4 linked regions of the Callithrix jacchus genome follow. The protein of the gene in region 1 interacts with the protein of each later gene in a biochemical or structural test. Links are inferred from orthologs where the notes say so. Each region holds a gene or a part of one and is shown in the gene's direction. Other genes may lie near its edges. The genes, in order: RAD51, RAD54B, RAD52 and EVL.

Region 1 (4,578 bases):
ATCTTGACTTTTGTGAACCACTTATGTAACAATCAGAATGTCAAAAAAGTCCCCTGGCGCTCGGCAGTCCAGAGCCCCTCACCCTCATCTTCGCCCAGGAATCCACTGGAATGTCTGGAGCCCCTCACCCACATCTCCGCCCAGGAGGTGATTTACAGAATCCACTGGCCCTCAGAACGTCTGAAGCCCCTCACCCCCACCCCTGCCCCTCACCCTCACTCCCGAGGTGGTTTTACGGGTATAAAAGGTCTTGGCACCCTCCTTTCGGGGCCACGGGTTGGAGAGTGAGTCCTCGGTGGCCGCAGGCAATAAAGACCCTGCAATTTAGCATACTTTTGTCTTAGTGTTGACTTTCTATGCTCAGGCCAGTACAACAAAAGCACTCCACAAATAGGAAGTAGTAATAAGGCCGTTGCAATGGCTCACACCTGTAATCGCAACACTTTGGGAGGCTCAGGTGGGAGGATCACTTGAGGCCAGGAGTTCAAGGTCAATTTGGACAACAGGGAGAGATGCTGCCTCATTAAAAAAAAAAAAAAAAAAAAAAAACAATAAATAAGACCAGGTGAGGTGGCTCCTAAAGTACTGGGATTACTGGCATGAGCCTCCGCGCCCGGCCCTACTTCAGCTTTTAAAACCGGAATCAAGAGTCAAAACTTTTTGGTAAACCACGATACTGTGTAGGTTATCAAATTCATGTCTTCTTCCTCTGAAGTCCTGCAAATCTCCAGTAAAGTACCACAAATTGACGAATATTCCAGCCATTTCTCTCTCCCGTCCGTTAGCTCCATTTCCCAATTATATCCATCTTCTCGAGCTTCTCAGCTCCTTCACCTTCATGAGGCCTGGAAAGCACCCGGCTCCAGAATGTGAGTCGGAGGCTCAGAGCGACCCTAAGTGCCAAAAGCCGACGTTCAGACACTGCCGAAAACCAACCACAAAAGAGGTAAGGCTCCGGGACGAAGGTAGGTAGCCGCGGGCCCGCCGGAGGTGCATGCCGGGAGATGCAGTCCCGAGCCGACGCATTACCTCTTGGGAGTTGTAGTCTTTGATCTGGTAAACATAAAACGGTTTCTGTAGACACCTGAGAGAGGAAAAAAAAAGTGAAAAGATAAAACGGCAACTCGGATAAGTCTTCCTCCCCCACTCCCCCAACCCCCGCCCCACCCGTGAGGGACTGGGGTGGGAGTAGGGGCGTTGCTGTGGCTGGCCTCGAACTCCTAGGCTCACTGTGGTTCTCTCGCCCCCACGTCCCGAGCAGCTGGGACTACAGGAGTGAGCCACAGCGCCCGGCATAAACTTTGAATTAGTACTCGTGCAAAAAGGGACGAGGTCGGTCCGTAACCTCGCAGGCTCATGTTCTCGCGCTCCCACCTTGCCCTGGGGCGCAGGGCGGAAGCGGTGAGAAGGCGGATCCAGGAGGCTGGAAGACGTTACGCCGACGCGGGCGTGACCCCAGGCCTAGAAGCTTTGGCGGGAATTCTGAAAGCTGCCGGCGGAGGGCAGACAGCGGCCAGAGACCGATCCCTAATGAGAGCGCAGCGCTTGCAGAGGCGCGAAGCTGGGAGCTGAAACTCGCCTGGATTGTGCGCACAAGGCTGGGGCAAGCGAACAGAGAAGTGGAGCGCAACCCAGGGGCGTTGGGGTCCGCTCAGGTCGCGCGCGTGCTAGGCCCACGGGCTGAAGTTGGAGCGCGCGGCCCGCTGGAGCGAGCAGCGCTGCGGGACGAGGTGAGTGCGTGAGGCGCAGGCCGTCCACAGCCGCGGCTCGTGCTCGCCTACCTGGGTGCGAGCCGGCTCGTTGCCCAGCGGCGGCTGGTGGGGCCTTCGCGCGCAGTGTGAAACCTGGACGTGGCAGGGCGGGTTGGCGCCCGACCGACCCTCAGCTGCTGGGGCGAAAACACAGTGGACCCCAGGCTTTAGAGCTAGGGGAGAAACAGTAGAACCGTCATTGCCAACACCCATTTTATGGGCTTGATCGAGGAGTCCGAGAGGACTGTTTAATATCACCGCCAGGGCTTCCGGATTCCTGGTCTTTCCATTACAGCAAGGTGTAATGGAAAGTTGGAGGTTGCCTTAGAAAGTACCCAAACTCCAATTGCCAAAAAAAAAAAGAAAGAAAAAATGTCGTCATTTGATGCAGAAAACCATTTACGTGACGTCTAGAGAATGTTCTGAAGTGAGGTTTGGGTTTTTGTTTTGTTTTTGTTTGTGTTTTTTGTTTTTTTTGAGATGGTGTCTCCCTCTGTCGTCCAGGCTGGGAGTGCAGTGGCCCGATCACGGCTCACTGCAACCTCCGCCTCCACGGTTCAAGCGCTTCTTCTGCCTCAGCCTCCCGAGGAGCTGGGATTGCAGGCGTGCGCCACCACGCCCGGCTAATTTTTTGTAGAGACGGGGGTTCTGTTGACCATGTTGGTCAAGTTGGTCTCGAACTGCTGACCTCAACTTACCCTTCCGCCTCAGCCTCCCAAAGTGCTGGGATTACACTGTGAGGCACTGCATACGGGTTTCTAATGCGATTATGTCGCTTGTTTTTGAATTTTATATACAAATATATCAGGAGTGTTACTTCACATGGTTGCCAATACGATATTTTTCAGTCTTATTAAATTTTAACTCTTTTGCTGGGTACACAGTAATGTCTCATGATTTTGATTTTCCTGATTACTGATTAGGTTGGGCATTTCTTCATGTGTTTTTGGCCATTTGGATATCTTCTGTGATGTGCTTGTTAAAATCTCTTGCCTCATTTTCTGTTGAACTGTCTTTTACTGATTTGAAGTTCTTTATATTCTGATTATCAGGCCTCAGTTATGTTAGTGCTAAGTGTTTTCTCTGCTGTAGTTTGACTTATTCTCTTAGTAGTGTCCTTTGATGAATAGAAGTGCTGAATGTAGTTCAGGCCAGGCGCCATGGCTCATGCCTGTAATCCCAGCACTTTTGGAGGCTGAGGGTGATAGATGATCAGGTCAGGAATTCAAGACCAAGAACCTCAGAGGTGGAGGTTGCAGTGAGCCGAGATGGAGCCACTGCACTCCAGCGTGGGCAATAGAGCCAGACTCTGTCTCAAATAAATAAATAAATAAAAAATAAATGTTCAGTTTTCAACATTTCCTCTTTGGCTAGTGAATTATATATCCAACTTCATGAACTCTTTTTCTGTCCCAAGGTTGTGAAAATATTATCTTATATTCTGAAAAGTTTAATTTATCTCTTACATTTAGATTGGGTGGAATCTATTAATAAATTGGAAATTGATTTTTGTTTGTGGTATGAGAGAGGGACAAAGTTCATTTTTCTCTCTAAGGCTATTCAATCAACCCAGCACTGCTTATTGAACAAAACCATCCTTTCCCCATTATTCTGCAGTACTGTATTCATAAATTATGAAGGGAAATATTTAAGTTGCACTGACGTGATTCTTGGCTGGGTGTAGTAGTGGCTCATGCCTGCAATACCAGCACTTTGGGAGGCCGAGGTGAGTGGGTCATCTGAGGTCAGGAGTTCGAGACCAGCCTAGCCAACATAGTGAAACCCCATCTGTATTAAAAGTACAAAAATTAGCCAGGTGTGGTGGCATGCGCCTGTAATCCTAGCTACTTGGGAGGCTGAAGCAGGAGAATAGCTTGAACCCAGGAGGTGGAGGTTGCAGTGAGCCAAGATAGCGCCATTGTACTCCAGCCTGGGTAATAAGTGGGAAATTCAATCTCTAAATAAATAAATGAGTAAGTAGCATTGAAGTGATTCTTTCTTTTTCTTTTCTTTCTTTCTTTTTTTTTTTTTTTTGAGTCAAAGTCTTGCTCTGTTGCCCAGGTTGGAGTGCAGCGGCATGATCTCAGCTTACTGCAGCCTCCACCTCTTGTGCTCAAGCAATTCTCCTGCCTCAGCCTCCCAAGTAGCTGGGACTACAGGTGTGTGCCACCAAGCTCGGCTAATTTTTTAAATTTTTAGTGGAAATCCGCCTACCTCAGCCTCCCAAAATGCTGGGATTATAGGTGTGAGCCACAGCACCAGCCAAGGTGATATTTCAGTACATACGTACATTGTATAATGAATGATCAAATCAATTCAGTTCAAACATTTGTCATTTCTCTTTGTGGTGAGAACATTCAAAATACTCTTTCTGGCTATTTTGAAGTATACATTACATTAGTGTGCATTGTAGTCACCCAACTGTGAAATAGAACACTAGAAATTATTCCTCTTGTCTAACTGAAACTTTGTGCCTGTTGACCAACCTCTCTCCTTCCCACTGCCCCTCTAACAGCTGTGTTCGCCTTAGTCTCTGGTTACCAGTCTTCTATTTGCTCCTTGTATGTGACCAACTTTTTTTTTTTTTTTTTGACACAGTCTTGCTCTGTTGCCAGGCTGGAGTGCAGTGGCACGATCTCAGCTCACTGCAATCTCCGCCTCCCAGGTTCATTCTCCTGCCTCAGCCTCCTGAGTAGCTGGGATTACAGGCTCACACCACCACACCCAGCTAATTTTTGTATTTTTAGTAGAGACAGGGTTTCACCATGTTGACTAGGATGGTCTCGATTTCCTGACCTTGTGATCTGCCCGCCTCGGCCTCCCAAAG
Region 2 (3,865 bases), on another chromosome or scaffold:
CCTTTAGTAATATCTTCCTTGGGCTGGTATGTGGGGTGCCTGTCTGCTGCTGTTCTGGTAGTTGGCAGGCAAAGGGGAGAGAGATCTAATTCAGTATCTAGACTTTCATTAACAATTTTTTTTAAGACAGGGTCCTGCTGTATTGTCCAGGCTGGACTGACACTCCTGGATTTAAGTGATCTTCCTGTTTCAGCCTCCTGAGTAGCAGGTGCTAAAGCTATATGCCACTACATTGGCTCTTCTGCCTTCTACAGTTGGTTCCCTGGTCTAAGTTTCTTTGATTTATTTTCTCCAGAGAATAAATATTTTATTTGAGAAAGAAAACTGCTGATCACATGGGAGCAGGGCCTGGGTTCTATGTACCAATGTTGTAATAGCTTCAGTCTAAACTCCTTCCTTCTGAGGTACCTTAGGAAGATTCTGTGATGCAAATGAACTTTCATTTGTTTCTTATTGGAATTTCCCTTTTTGCGCATGTAGGTGTCACTTTTTGTATACTCCTAAGCAGGTGACTGCTTCACTATGCTTTCTGTTTTCAGATATCTTCAGAGTTAGTGTTTCTGTTCATTTTTGTATTTTGCTCATTCTCTTGATATTTTTAGAGTGACGTCAGAGAGATGAAGAAGGCAGAAAGGTCTTTGCTTCACTGTCTTAAAACTGGAAGTTTAGATATTGACTTTAAAATGGATTATGTAGAAATACCTTTGTTTTAATTGTACAGGGTCATTGTTGCACACTCTCTAAATGTCAGTGATAATATTATTGTGGTATTTTCTTTCAACTAAGACAATCTAAAGCTGCCTTTAAATTATATCTAAAGAATCTTTCTTTTTGATTGACAGGGTGGTGTTGGTATCCAACTATACACAAACCTTGAACATTTTACAAGAAGTATGTAAGCGTCATGGATATGCTTATACAAGACTTGATGGGCAAACACCAATCTCTCAAAGGCAGCAGATTGTTGATGGCTTTAATAGTCAACACTCTTCTGTTTTTATTTTTTTGTTAAGTTCAAAAGCTGGTGGTGTAGGACTTAACCTTATTGGAGGATCTCACTTAATTCTTTATGACATTGATTGGAATCCAGCCACTGATATTCAGGTAGGAATATTTATGCATTAGATAGATATTATTGAATGCCTGGGAATGCAGTGCCTATTGAGGATGCAATATGATGATGATAGATAATAACTACTGCATAAAGAGCCCTTATTTTGCATGAAGCACTCTGCTAAGTGCTTTCCATCTATTTAATCTTCCTAACAAGCCTACAAAGGTTGATATTAATAGTCCCATTTTACAGATGAAGATACGAAAGCTTGTTCTAGATCCCACAGCTTGTAAGATGCAGAGCCAGGATTCAGACCTAAACCTGTATGTCTCCAGGTTCTAGTTTACTGCAGAGTTGGGCGTTTAGGATGTTCATGACCATCAGGTGAAGACAATAAAGTGTTGTGGATCCTGTTAGTGTTTATGCAGGCTACAGTATGGGTATAAATATAACATATTTAGGAAAATATTTGAGAAGCCTTTGGTTTTCTTTAGAGAACCATCCATCCTTTTGTATCTTGAGTTTTCTACCTGTAGGTTTGCACCTCAGTTATGTGCATTAGGGGATCCCAAGACAACCCTCAGGTTTAATAATTCACTAGAAGGACTCAACAGAACTGGAAAAAGAAGCAGTACTCACAGTTATGTTGCATTATAGTAAAGGATACTCAAATCAGTAAGGAAAAGGTGCTGGGTTCAGGGCAGAGTCCAAGAGAGACCACAAGCTTCCAGTTGTCCTCTCCCAGTGGAGTTTTATGGACAACACTGAATTCTCTCAGCATTGATGAGTGACAATACATATGGAATATTGTCAACCAGGGAGGTTCACCCAAGTGTTGGTGTCCAGAATTTTTCTTTGGGGTCAGTCCTGTAGGCATGGACTACCTGCATGACTGACCTTAGTTACTCAGCCTTCAGCCTTCCAGAAATCCAACCACATGGCCGAAGGCCCCACCATATCACATTGTTAGCATAAACTCTCTGGTGTGGCCCAAGGCTTCTGGTAAACAGACACTCATATCAGGCAGGACATTCCAAGAGCCTAGAGATGATCTCTTAGAGGTAGGTTGAAGGCCAGATTCTTATTTGAAATGTGCAGGTTTTGAACATCAACCCTGCACTTATATGACATTATATGTTATATGTCATATAATCTTTAAACCACAGGGATCCACCTAGAGCCTTAGCTGATTACATGTATCCTAGGTACTTTTCAGGGGCAAATCTTTAGCTATTTGGACTGAGAATGAACCTCCATGCCCATGCTACACTTGGTTCTTTGTGTCTTGCTGTCCATACTCACTGTCCCATTGATGAAGATACATCCTCTCACTGTTGCATGATACCCCTGTAGTTATTTTAACATAATGAGTGTTCACTCAACCCTTTCTTTCCGCCAAGAAAAAGATATGCAGTAGGACACGCTTGGCACACCTGTAACCCTATATATGTAAAATATAGAATTCCTAATTTTAAAACATATTTCTGCAAATTGCATATGTGGAAAGGGCCATCAGTTTCTACTGTACTCTCAGAATTCTCACTTATTTTCTGTAGGCAATGTCCAGAGTATGGAGAGATGGTCAGAAGCATCCTGTACATATTTACAGACTCCTAACCACAGGTAACAACCCATCGGTATGACCAAAAATGTATTTCCTTTGAATAATTAAAATTATTTTTTGTTAGTCTGTGCTTCAGTGTCAGGAATATATTGCTATTTTGTTAACTAGTATGTTAATAAACATTTTACCCAACAAAAATAGTGAACATAAAGATCTGAAGGAAATCTAATGAATGTTTTCTCTTTAGGTACAATAGAAGAAAAGATCTATCAAAGGCAGATCAGTAAGCAAGGTCTTTGTGGGGCAGTTGTCGATCTCACTAAGACATCGGAACATATTCAGTTTTCACTAGAAGAACTTAAAAATTTGTTCACCTTGCATGAAAGTTCATCTTGTGTTACTCATGACCTGCTTGACTGTGAGTGTACAGGAGAAGTTCATACAGGTTAGTTGTATTTTAATTCTGTTATTATGTAGTAAAGTTAATTTACCTCTCTTTAGCAGTTGAAAATATTAAAGAATAACTTTATAATATTTACCATTTGCATATGGTAGTTTTCTTTTTTTCTTAGCTCATAGGGCAGCTGCCAGAGATATTTGAGATATATTTAGTAGAATCTTATTCTCTCAATTTTAGCTTTTTACTTCTGAATCACTTGTGAAAAATTGAACTTATTTAGGAAAGTCTTTCAAATCCTTATGTAATGGCTTTGGAGATAGGAAAAAAAGAAATTATTTTTTTTTGAGGGGGAGACAGGGTCTGGCTCTGTTACTGCCTCACCCAGGCTGGAGTGCAATGATGCAATCATGGTTCACTGCAACCACCGTCTCTTGGGTTCAAGTGATCTTCCAGCTTCAGCCTTCTGAGTAGCTGGGACTAATGGTGTGTACCACCACACCTGGCTAATTTTTATATTTTTTGTAGAGACGAGATTTCTCCATGTTGCCCACATTGGTCTGGAACTCCTGGGCTTAAGCAATCTGCTCACCTTGGCCTTCCAAGTTCTGGGATTACAGGTGTGAGCCACCGCGTCCAGCCAGAAAAATAGTTTTAATTCCTATTTGTCTTTCACAAAAAACATACACTTGACAGAATAATCCTATTTATGTTGTATAGAATTTATTCACAATGGGGTCATGTTTTCTGAGGCACTCAGAAGCATGGGCCACCATATTTCTCAATACTTGATGTAACTGCTAGTGCTGCTTAAGCAAAGCTGAAAATTCACCCTCCAGAATAGACACTA
Region 3 (3,865 bases), on another chromosome or scaffold:
AGTTTCAAGTGATTCTCCTGCTTCAGCCTCCTGAGTAGCTAGGATTACAGGCATGCGCCACCACGCTGGCTAATTTTGTATTTTTAGTAGAGGTGGGGTTTCTCCATGTTGGTCGGGCTGGTCTTGAACTCCTGACCTCAGATGATCTGCCTGCCTCAGCCTCCCAAAGTGCTGGGATTACAGGTGTGAGCCACTGGGCCTGGCCTGAACTTTATATATGTAAAGTTCACAAGTGGAATTGTACAGTTTATACTTTAAGAAAATTGACTGAAGTATTAAAAAGTACATATAGACATGTAGACAAGTGCACATATCATCCATGTTTAGCTTGCTGAATTTTCAAACCAAACACATCCACATAGTCAATATCTGAATCAAGGTAAGACATTACCAGTACCCAGAAGGCCCAGATGTGTTCCTTGCAGTCACTGCCATCCTCTGCCCTCCTTCCCACTACTGAGCAAACCACTTTTAACAACACAGATTGGCCAGGTGCGGTGGCTCACGTCTGTAATTCCACCACTTTGGGAGGCCAAGGAGGAAGGATTGCTTGAACCCAGGAGTTAGAGACCAGCCAGGACAACATAGTGGGACCCTGTCTCTACAAAATAAAAATTAGCTGGGCATGGTGGTGCATGCCTATAGTCCCAGCTCCTTGGGAAGCTGCTCTGAGAGAATTGCTTGTACCCAGGAGGCCCAGGCTGCAGTGAGCTGTGATCACACCACTGTGCTCTAGCCTGGGCTGCAGAGCGAGACCCTGTCTCAAAAACAAAAACCACAGATTTGTTTTTATTGTTATGTGCTTTTTTGGAATCCTATAGTTTGAACTCTGTATCTTACTTGAATTCAGCATGGTTGTGAGATTTCATTGCTGTGTCATTTTATTTTGCATGAGTATGTGGCAGTTTAGTTTTCTAGTCAGAGATGTTTTGTTTTTGGTAGCTTTTGGCTGTTGGGAATAGAGCTGCTGTTAGCATTCTTTTGGTGAACATGTGCGCTCACTTTTGTTGGGAATTCTTGGGTGAGAAGATAGCTGCATGGTTTGTTCCAGTGGGTTCCTCCCGTTTTCCTGCGTGGCTGTATTGATTCACACTCCCACACGGCATTGTGTCAGTTCCAATTGTTCCAAATCTTTGACACCATTTGGTATTGCCAGTCTGTCATATTTTTCAAAGCTCATTTCTTCTTTTGAGACACATCTCGCTTTGTCACCCAGGCTGGAGTGCAGTGGTGCAAGCTTGGCTCACTGCAAACTCTGCCTCCTGGGTTTAAGTGATTCTCCTGCCTCAGTCTCCTGAGTAGCTGGGATGATAGGTGTGTGCTACCATGCCCAGGTTTTTTTTTTTTTTTTTTTTTTTTTACTTTTAGTAGAGATGGGCTGTTACTCAGGAGCTCCTCTGATTTTTTTTTGTATTTTTGCCATGTTGGCCAGGCTGGTCCTGAACTCCTACACTCAACTGATCTGCCTCGGCTTCCCAAGTGCTGGGATTACAGTCATGAGCCACCGCGCCCAGCCAAAGCTCATTTCTTTTTAAACGACTCATTTATCTTTCAAATTAAATGTGAAATCTTCACTATAATTTTCATTTTCAGGTTTTCAAAATGTAATCTTAATCCCTCATATTAATTATTCCATCAACATCACTTTTATGAATTGAGAGATGTTTTCCCAAGTAAAAATGTTCTGGATTTCTGTAGGAATCACAGTGTGGAAATGAAATCATTTGCCCTGTGCCATACAGCACAGGATTGTCCCTTGTCACATTGATGAGATGCAGGAAGAGCCCCCCACTGGAAGATTCCTGGCAGCCTTGGCTGGCAGCTGACGTCTGTGTCTCCCAAGTGTTCTTCCCTCTGTCGTTTGAAGGGTACTTTATTATGCCACAGCATGCCCAAGGCTCCCTCAGTGATGAGTGCGATTTCCAGGGGTAGTCCTTGAAGAAAGCATTGAGAAGGTGCAGACCTCCACAGAGACTGTGTGGACTCATTTCTCTGGAAAAAGGACAAGGAGGCAGCAAAGACAGACCCAGCTGCCAAGGAAAGATTCAAATTAGATTTTACAGAACATTTGCCCTAGGTCAAAACCAAAGAAGGATTCCTTTTTCTCAAAACTTCACTTGTTGAAGGGTGTAAAGTAAGACATGTTGTTTTACTTCTCTTTCTCATAGAATTACAAACATTACTTGGAATTTGTAGATCCTTTGCCTCAGGCTCAGCACGACCTAGAAGGCATGATGGATGGAGGGTATGAAATGAGATTTTCCAGGAATCTAAATCTGTGAGTCAGGGAGAAGAAGCGGAGGGCAAGAGCTAGTTGAAGGAATTTTTTTCTCCTTTTTCCTTATTAGGTGCCTGTTGAAGTGGATTTAACTAAAGCGAAGAGACAAGATTTTGAACCATCTGTGGAAGAGGCAAGATACAACAGTTGCCGACCGAACATGGCCCTGGGACACCCACAGCTACAGGAGGTGACCTCCCCCTCTAGACCAAGCCACGATGTGATACAGGGGAATAAGGACTGCAGCTCCCGGTATGTGTCCTCAGTCCCCTCCTTTTTCTTTCTGGCCATTTCCTCTGCTACTGGGGCTGCCTCCACTTCCTCCTTCAGAGCCAGCCAGCTGCGTGCGTGTGTGCGTGCGCCCAGGAGCCGTGGCTGTTACTTAGGAGCTCCTCCTCATCCTGTTGCTCCCCTGATGCAGACGCCTGACCTCATCCACTGTGGAGAGCGAGGCCTCATACCAGCGGAAGCTCCGGCAAAAGCAGCTGCAGCAGCAGTTCCGGGAGCAGATGGAGAAGCAGCAAGTCCTCGTCTCCACCCCACCAGTTGAGAAGAGTGAGGGTGTGTGTGGATGGGAGCAGAGCCCTGGGAGGTGTCAGCAGGAGGAAGTCTAGCGACAGGGTCACCTGATTCTCTGCCAGTAACCCTGTAGCTGGCTCTAAACCAGGCCTCGCTGGGACTTCTCTCAAGCTATGTGCAGGAGAGATGAGCCCAGGAAATTTGGATATTTAAATCTGCTATACATTTTCCCATTTCTAGAGACAATGATCTTTTTTTTCCCCTATGGAAGTAAATGGGCCTTGATATAATCTTCTAGAATTAGAAATTTCAGAGTAAATAACTTTTTTTTTGCTGCAAATACTTAGTCCATCTGTACATTAGAAAGCCGTGGCCGGGTGCAGTGGCTCACGCCTGTAATCCCAGCACTTTCGGAGGCCAAGGTGGGTGGATCACTTGATGTCATCATGATGAAGCCCTATTTCTACCAAGAATGCATAAAAATTAGCCAGGCGTGGTGGCGCATGCCTGTGGTACTCCCTACTTGGGAGGCTTAGGCAGGAAGGCAGAGGTTGCAGTGAGCTGAGATCGTGCCATTGCACTCCAGCCTGGGCAAGAGTGAGACCCCGTCTCAAAAAAAAAAACTCCTTGTATTTCTGAGATGTCTTTGAATATAAGGCCAAATTGAGATTAAGGATAACGGGAGCTTTTGGCAGGTATTTATCAACTTTCGTTTATTTCAGAGTCCAGATTCAGTGGGAATCCCCACTGCCCCGTCCAGGGGTAGGTAGTCCTTACTCAGAGAGTGCAAACAAAGCCTGTCCCAGATCCGTTGAGCTTTTGCCCAGTTTTTCCATACCAATTGTGAAGAAGATTCATAGAAGACTTGCTTTGTGGTTCATATGCCCCTCAGCACTAACAGGCTGAAAGTAATATAAAAGCCAAAACAGGGGCCGGGCGTGGTGGCTCACGCCTGTAATCCCAGTACTTTGGGAGGCCGAGGCGGGTGGATCATGAGGTCAAGAGATCGAGACCATCCTGGTCAACATGGTGAAACCCCGTCTCTACTAAAAATTAGCTGGGCATGGT
Region 4 (3,865 bases), about 89 Mb from region 1:
TTGTGTGGGGACGTAGTGAGCAGAGGAGACAAAGCAAAGACCTCTGCCCACGGTGACAAGGGCAGAAGTTCTTTGCTTGGGATCAGAGTTACACATCAGGTTGGGTGGCTGCCTGTCAGCAGCTCAAATGCTGTGCATTCTGCTTCATCAAGTGAGAGGATTACTCTTATTACTTAACAAGTGGCATGTTCTTGGTGCTGAAAATCATCCTGATGCACATGCCATGCACAGCGAGTGTTGGGTGTTCCCACTGTTGGACACACATCCACCCGTCGAGCATTGCCACAGACCTGTCACAGGGGCAGCTGTGTGTGTGCTACATGGGGGAATAGGTCCCTCCTCGGCATGCTTGCAAGAAGTCAGCGAGATGACACACAGGAGGCATCTGGCCCATGGGGCTCAGGGCTTGGGGTGTTGAGGGCCAGAAAGGAGTCTGCACTCCTCTGCAAAGGTCCTGGAGCTTCCTGCAGCCTTCCCCTTCCCCTTTGTCCACAGGCTGGATTCACTCCCCACTGAGATTTGGGGTTTTCAGTTTTAAATATTTAATGTTTTGCTAATTATAAAAGTTGTATGTGTTCACTGGGAACATTTGGAAAACTGAGGTTTTATAGAGTGCCCAGTGGTGTCCTGCCCCAGCCCCAAGCAGTGTTCCTAAACAGACTTCCTTCTTCTCCATCTTAGGAAGATCCTAGTACCTCCCCCTCTCCGGGGACCCGAGCAGCCAGCCAGCCACCTAACTCCTCAGGTGAGATGGCGCCCCCACTGACCTCATGTATGAAGCAAACAGGGCAAGGGGGCATGTGAGGCATGAGGTCTCAGAGTGGGGGGAGCACCCTTCAAAGAGGACTCTCTGATCCAGCCTCCTCAGTTTGCCTGAGCAGAGAGCCAGGCCACACAGAGGGAAGCCCAGTTCTTATGAGTCCCCCAGAGCATCCCCCAGGAATCCATGCAGGAGCATAGGAAGTGCTAGAACAGAGTCACCGTCATGGGTCCCCAGAGTGGCCTACGCGGCACCTCATTTCCCACCAGGACCCTGAGTTCCGCATGAGGGAAGGCACTTGCCTGATGGCACATATTCAGGGTGGGGGTTTGTGTCCAGGGCTCCTGAGTGCAGGCCGGGGCCAGTGGTCTTAAGAGGGTCAGCGTCAGGACTCATGTCTCCCATGAAACGCCAGCTGGTGACTAGCGTTACAGATATGGCAGTGGATCTTGCTTCACCGAAATGCAGCTCCTTCCCTGGCTCAGGTTTCCCGTCAGAGCTGTGGCAGGTGGGAAGGAGGAAGGAGAGAATGATGAGGTGACAAGGGCAGAGGTTCTCTACATAAGCCTTAAGAGGAAGTGGGAGGAAGACCCCAGGGTTGGTTGTTCATTCAACAGACATTGGCGCAGCACCTGCTCTGTGCCAGGCCTGTGCTCATGAGCATGGCAAGGAGAGGCAGGGGCGTCAGGCTGCCCAAGCTGGGCATGGGAGGCGCTTGCCAGCTGTTCATGTGTCTCTCTGGGGCATGCTCAGGTTGAGTGTCACCTCACTGTGAGACTGTACACCGTGTCCTCTCCTCCTAGGACTTTTGCCTGGCAGGTCGATTTGCCATGATGCATAGGTTCTTGGCTGATGAACGTGAACAATGCCCCTGCCCTGTTTGCTTCTTACAGCAGCCCAGTGAGTGGGCTATGTGTTTGCATCTGTATGATAAGTGGTTTGCTCAAGGCCACACACCTGGGACGGGTCTGTGGCCCCAGGTCTAGTGCCTGCAGTCCCAGCACCTGTCCCAGAAGGTGACTTTGAGGAAAACTACCTCAGTCCCACAGTTGGTCTGCAGGGTACCACAGCCAGGCAGCTTCCCCACTACCACTAGAGATTTTGTCTTCTGTCTCTGCTCATCCTGCAAAGTCAGCAAATTCAACTTAATGCAACAAATCTTTTGGAGTAGGCCAAAATATAATCCAATACCACTTACCTTGAAAAAGAAAAGACAAGCCAGCTGAATGGGACAGAGCCAGGCACAGCATGGGGGCCAGCTAAGGAGCCCGTCAGCAGCAGGTGCTGGGCCTCGGGTCCTGGCTGCACAGCTCATGGGAGCAAGGCTGCATTGGGAGTGTCTGGGGAGGTCCTGCCTGCTTCCCCTTCAGCCCCGTTCGCTGGGTTGCTTACCAGCAGGCCCACGTTCCAGAGAAACCTGACCACAGTGAAAGGACTCAGAACGAGGTCACAGGTCAGGGTCAACCAGGTCAAGGGAACAGGAGCTTGAGTCCTGGAGTAGGGGAGACACAGGGTGACGACAGTGGTGCCATCTAAAGCCCTCAGGGGGCTGGCCTAGGCCATGGGGGACTGAGAACAAGAAGCCAGGTTTTGGCTCTGCTCAAATTAGACCTTCTTGCCATGGGGCTCTGCACCCTCAGCATTGGGGAGAGCTTCCTTTTGGATGTTGAGGGGATTAGGGTGGCTCCTGAGTCCTCTCAGGTCTAAAGTTCTTCATCCATGAACCGAATTGACAGAGACTGGCCGGAAGCCCTGGGAGCGGAGCAACTCGGTGGAGAAGCCTGTATCCTCGATTCTGTCCAGGTGAGTGGCCCAGAAGGCCTGAGCAGCAAGGCTGGGGTGGGCAGAGGCGGGTGCTGGCGCCGATTCACATGTCTGTTTCATTCCATGCTGTAGAACCCCGTCTGTGGCAAAGAGCCCCGAAGCTAAGAGCCCCCTTCAGTTGCAGCCTCACTCTAGGTACTGAACAACCCTCCTGCTCACGTGTTCTCCAGGGTTGGGGCTCCTCTGTCCCCTGTCCTGTGACTAACACCTTGCACCCTGTCTCATGTCTTGGCATTTAACAGCTTGCTCTGGGAAGGTGATCTGTTCTTTCAGACCCAGGACCTCAGGGTCCTGTCAGTCAGCTCCTCCTCCTCCCTCTGAGGGAGAGACCGAGGCCCGGGGAGGGCAGTGACCTGTCCACAGATCCAGTGCAGGGGGCTGACTTGGAGTCTCAGCTCTGGACTCACTACATGTGACAGTGAGCAAGTTAGGGGAACTCTCCAGGCCTCTTTTTCCCCCTCCCCCCACAAAACAGGTCGGTGAATCCCTGCTGCACAGGGCAGTAGTGGGGACAGCTGTGCAAACAACAGCTGGACATGGTCACTAGGCGTGGCTGCAGCCAGCAGCTCAGCTAGTCCTAGGACTGGCCCTGAGCCCCACACCCTCTCCTCCAGCCCACAGTCCTTCCTCTGCGTCCAGCACAGAGCCAGTTTCCCCCAGACATGCTGACCATATTTCCCAAACCAAAAGCTGGCATGACAGCACGATAGAATATTTGGAACTGAGGTTGCCCAAAAAGGTGCAGGCAGCCACATCGTATCTGGAGGCCCACGTGGCCTGAATGTGAAGCCCTCTAGAACCTGCATCAAGAAATGTCTCCATTGCCACCAGAAGTTGAAGGGAACCCACCCTTGTCACAGAGGAGGAGGCACTGAAACTGGCCTTGCGGAGCGAAACGGGTGACAAGCCGAGCAAGCCCTGGCCTGTCCCTGGCAGAAATGGCCAAGACCAGGGCAGGGGGACAGAGATGAGGAAGTCTTAGCAGTCAGCTGGGGTTTGTCAAAGGCTTGTGGCCAGCCAGGCCGTGTGCTGGGGACAGTCCCTGCCTGCCAAGATCACATGAGAACAAGGCCCCTGTGGTCCTGAGGGGTGCTCCAGCAAGGGTGTGGGGCCACGTGGTGGAAGGGACAGGGTGCTTTGGGGAGTGGGGCAGGGCAGGCCTCCGTTGGGAGCTGGCATTTCATTGACCTGGACGAGGAGGAGCCTGCTGTTCGGAGAGCATGGGGACAGCCTTCCAAGCTGAAGGAAGGGTAAGTGCCAGGGCCCTGAGCCTGCAGCCAC

The links.
Region 2: the proteins of RAD51 (region 1) and RAD54B form a complex in vitro, tested with the Homo sapiens proteins (2 studies listed by BioGRID). The link is inferred for Callithrix jacchus from reciprocal best matches to the Homo sapiens genes RAD51 and RAD54B.
Region 3: the proteins of RAD51 (region 1) and RAD52 form a complex in vitro, tested with the Homo sapiens proteins (6 studies listed by BioGRID). The link is inferred for Callithrix jacchus from reciprocal best matches to the Homo sapiens genes RAD51 and RAD52.
Region 4: the proteins of RAD51 (region 1) and EVL form a complex in vitro, tested with the Homo sapiens proteins (2 studies listed by BioGRID and IntAct). The link is inferred for Callithrix jacchus from reciprocal best matches to the Homo sapiens genes RAD51 and EVL.

The regions. Positions count from the first base shown.
Region 1 is NC_133509.1:45,884,963-45,889,540, reverse strand, and holds the start of RAD51 (DNA repair protein RAD51 homolog 1), read left to right. Parts: upstream 1-1,475; 5' UTR 1,476-1,730; intron 1,731-1,732; exon of another isoform or gene 1,733-2,183; intron 2,184-4,578.
Region 2 is NC_133517.1:32,820,155-32,824,019, forward strand, and holds part of RAD54B (DNA repair and recombination protein RAD54B), read left to right. Parts: intron 1-842; coding exon 843-1,104; intron 1,105-2,610; coding exon 2,611-2,677; intron 2,678-2,865; coding exon 2,866-3,063; intron 3,064-3,865. UniProt on the Homo sapiens protein: Involved in DNA repair and mitotic recombination. May play an active role in recombination processes in concert with other members of the RAD52 epistasis group.
Region 3 is NC_133510.1:14,076,717-14,080,581, reverse strand, and holds part of RAD52 (DNA repair protein RAD52 homolog), read left to right. Parts: intron 1-2,348; coding exon 2,349-2,530; intron 2,531-2,699; coding exon 2,700-2,839; intron 2,840-3,865. UniProt on the Homo sapiens protein: Involved in double-stranded break repair. Plays a central role in genetic recombination and DNA repair by promoting the annealing of complementary single-stranded DNA and by stimulation of the RAD51 recombinase.
Region 4 is NC_133509.1:135,053,126-135,056,990, forward strand, and holds part of EVL (ena/VASP-like protein), read left to right. Parts: intron 1-681; coding exon 682-745; intron 746-2,496; coding exon 2,497-2,563; intron 2,564-2,656; coding exon 2,657-2,719; exon of another isoform or gene 2,720-3,834; intron 3,835-3,865. UniProt on the Homo sapiens protein: Ena/VASP proteins are actin-associated proteins involved in a range of processes dependent on cytoskeleton remodeling and cell polarity such as axon guidance and lamellipodial and filopodial dynamics in migrating cells.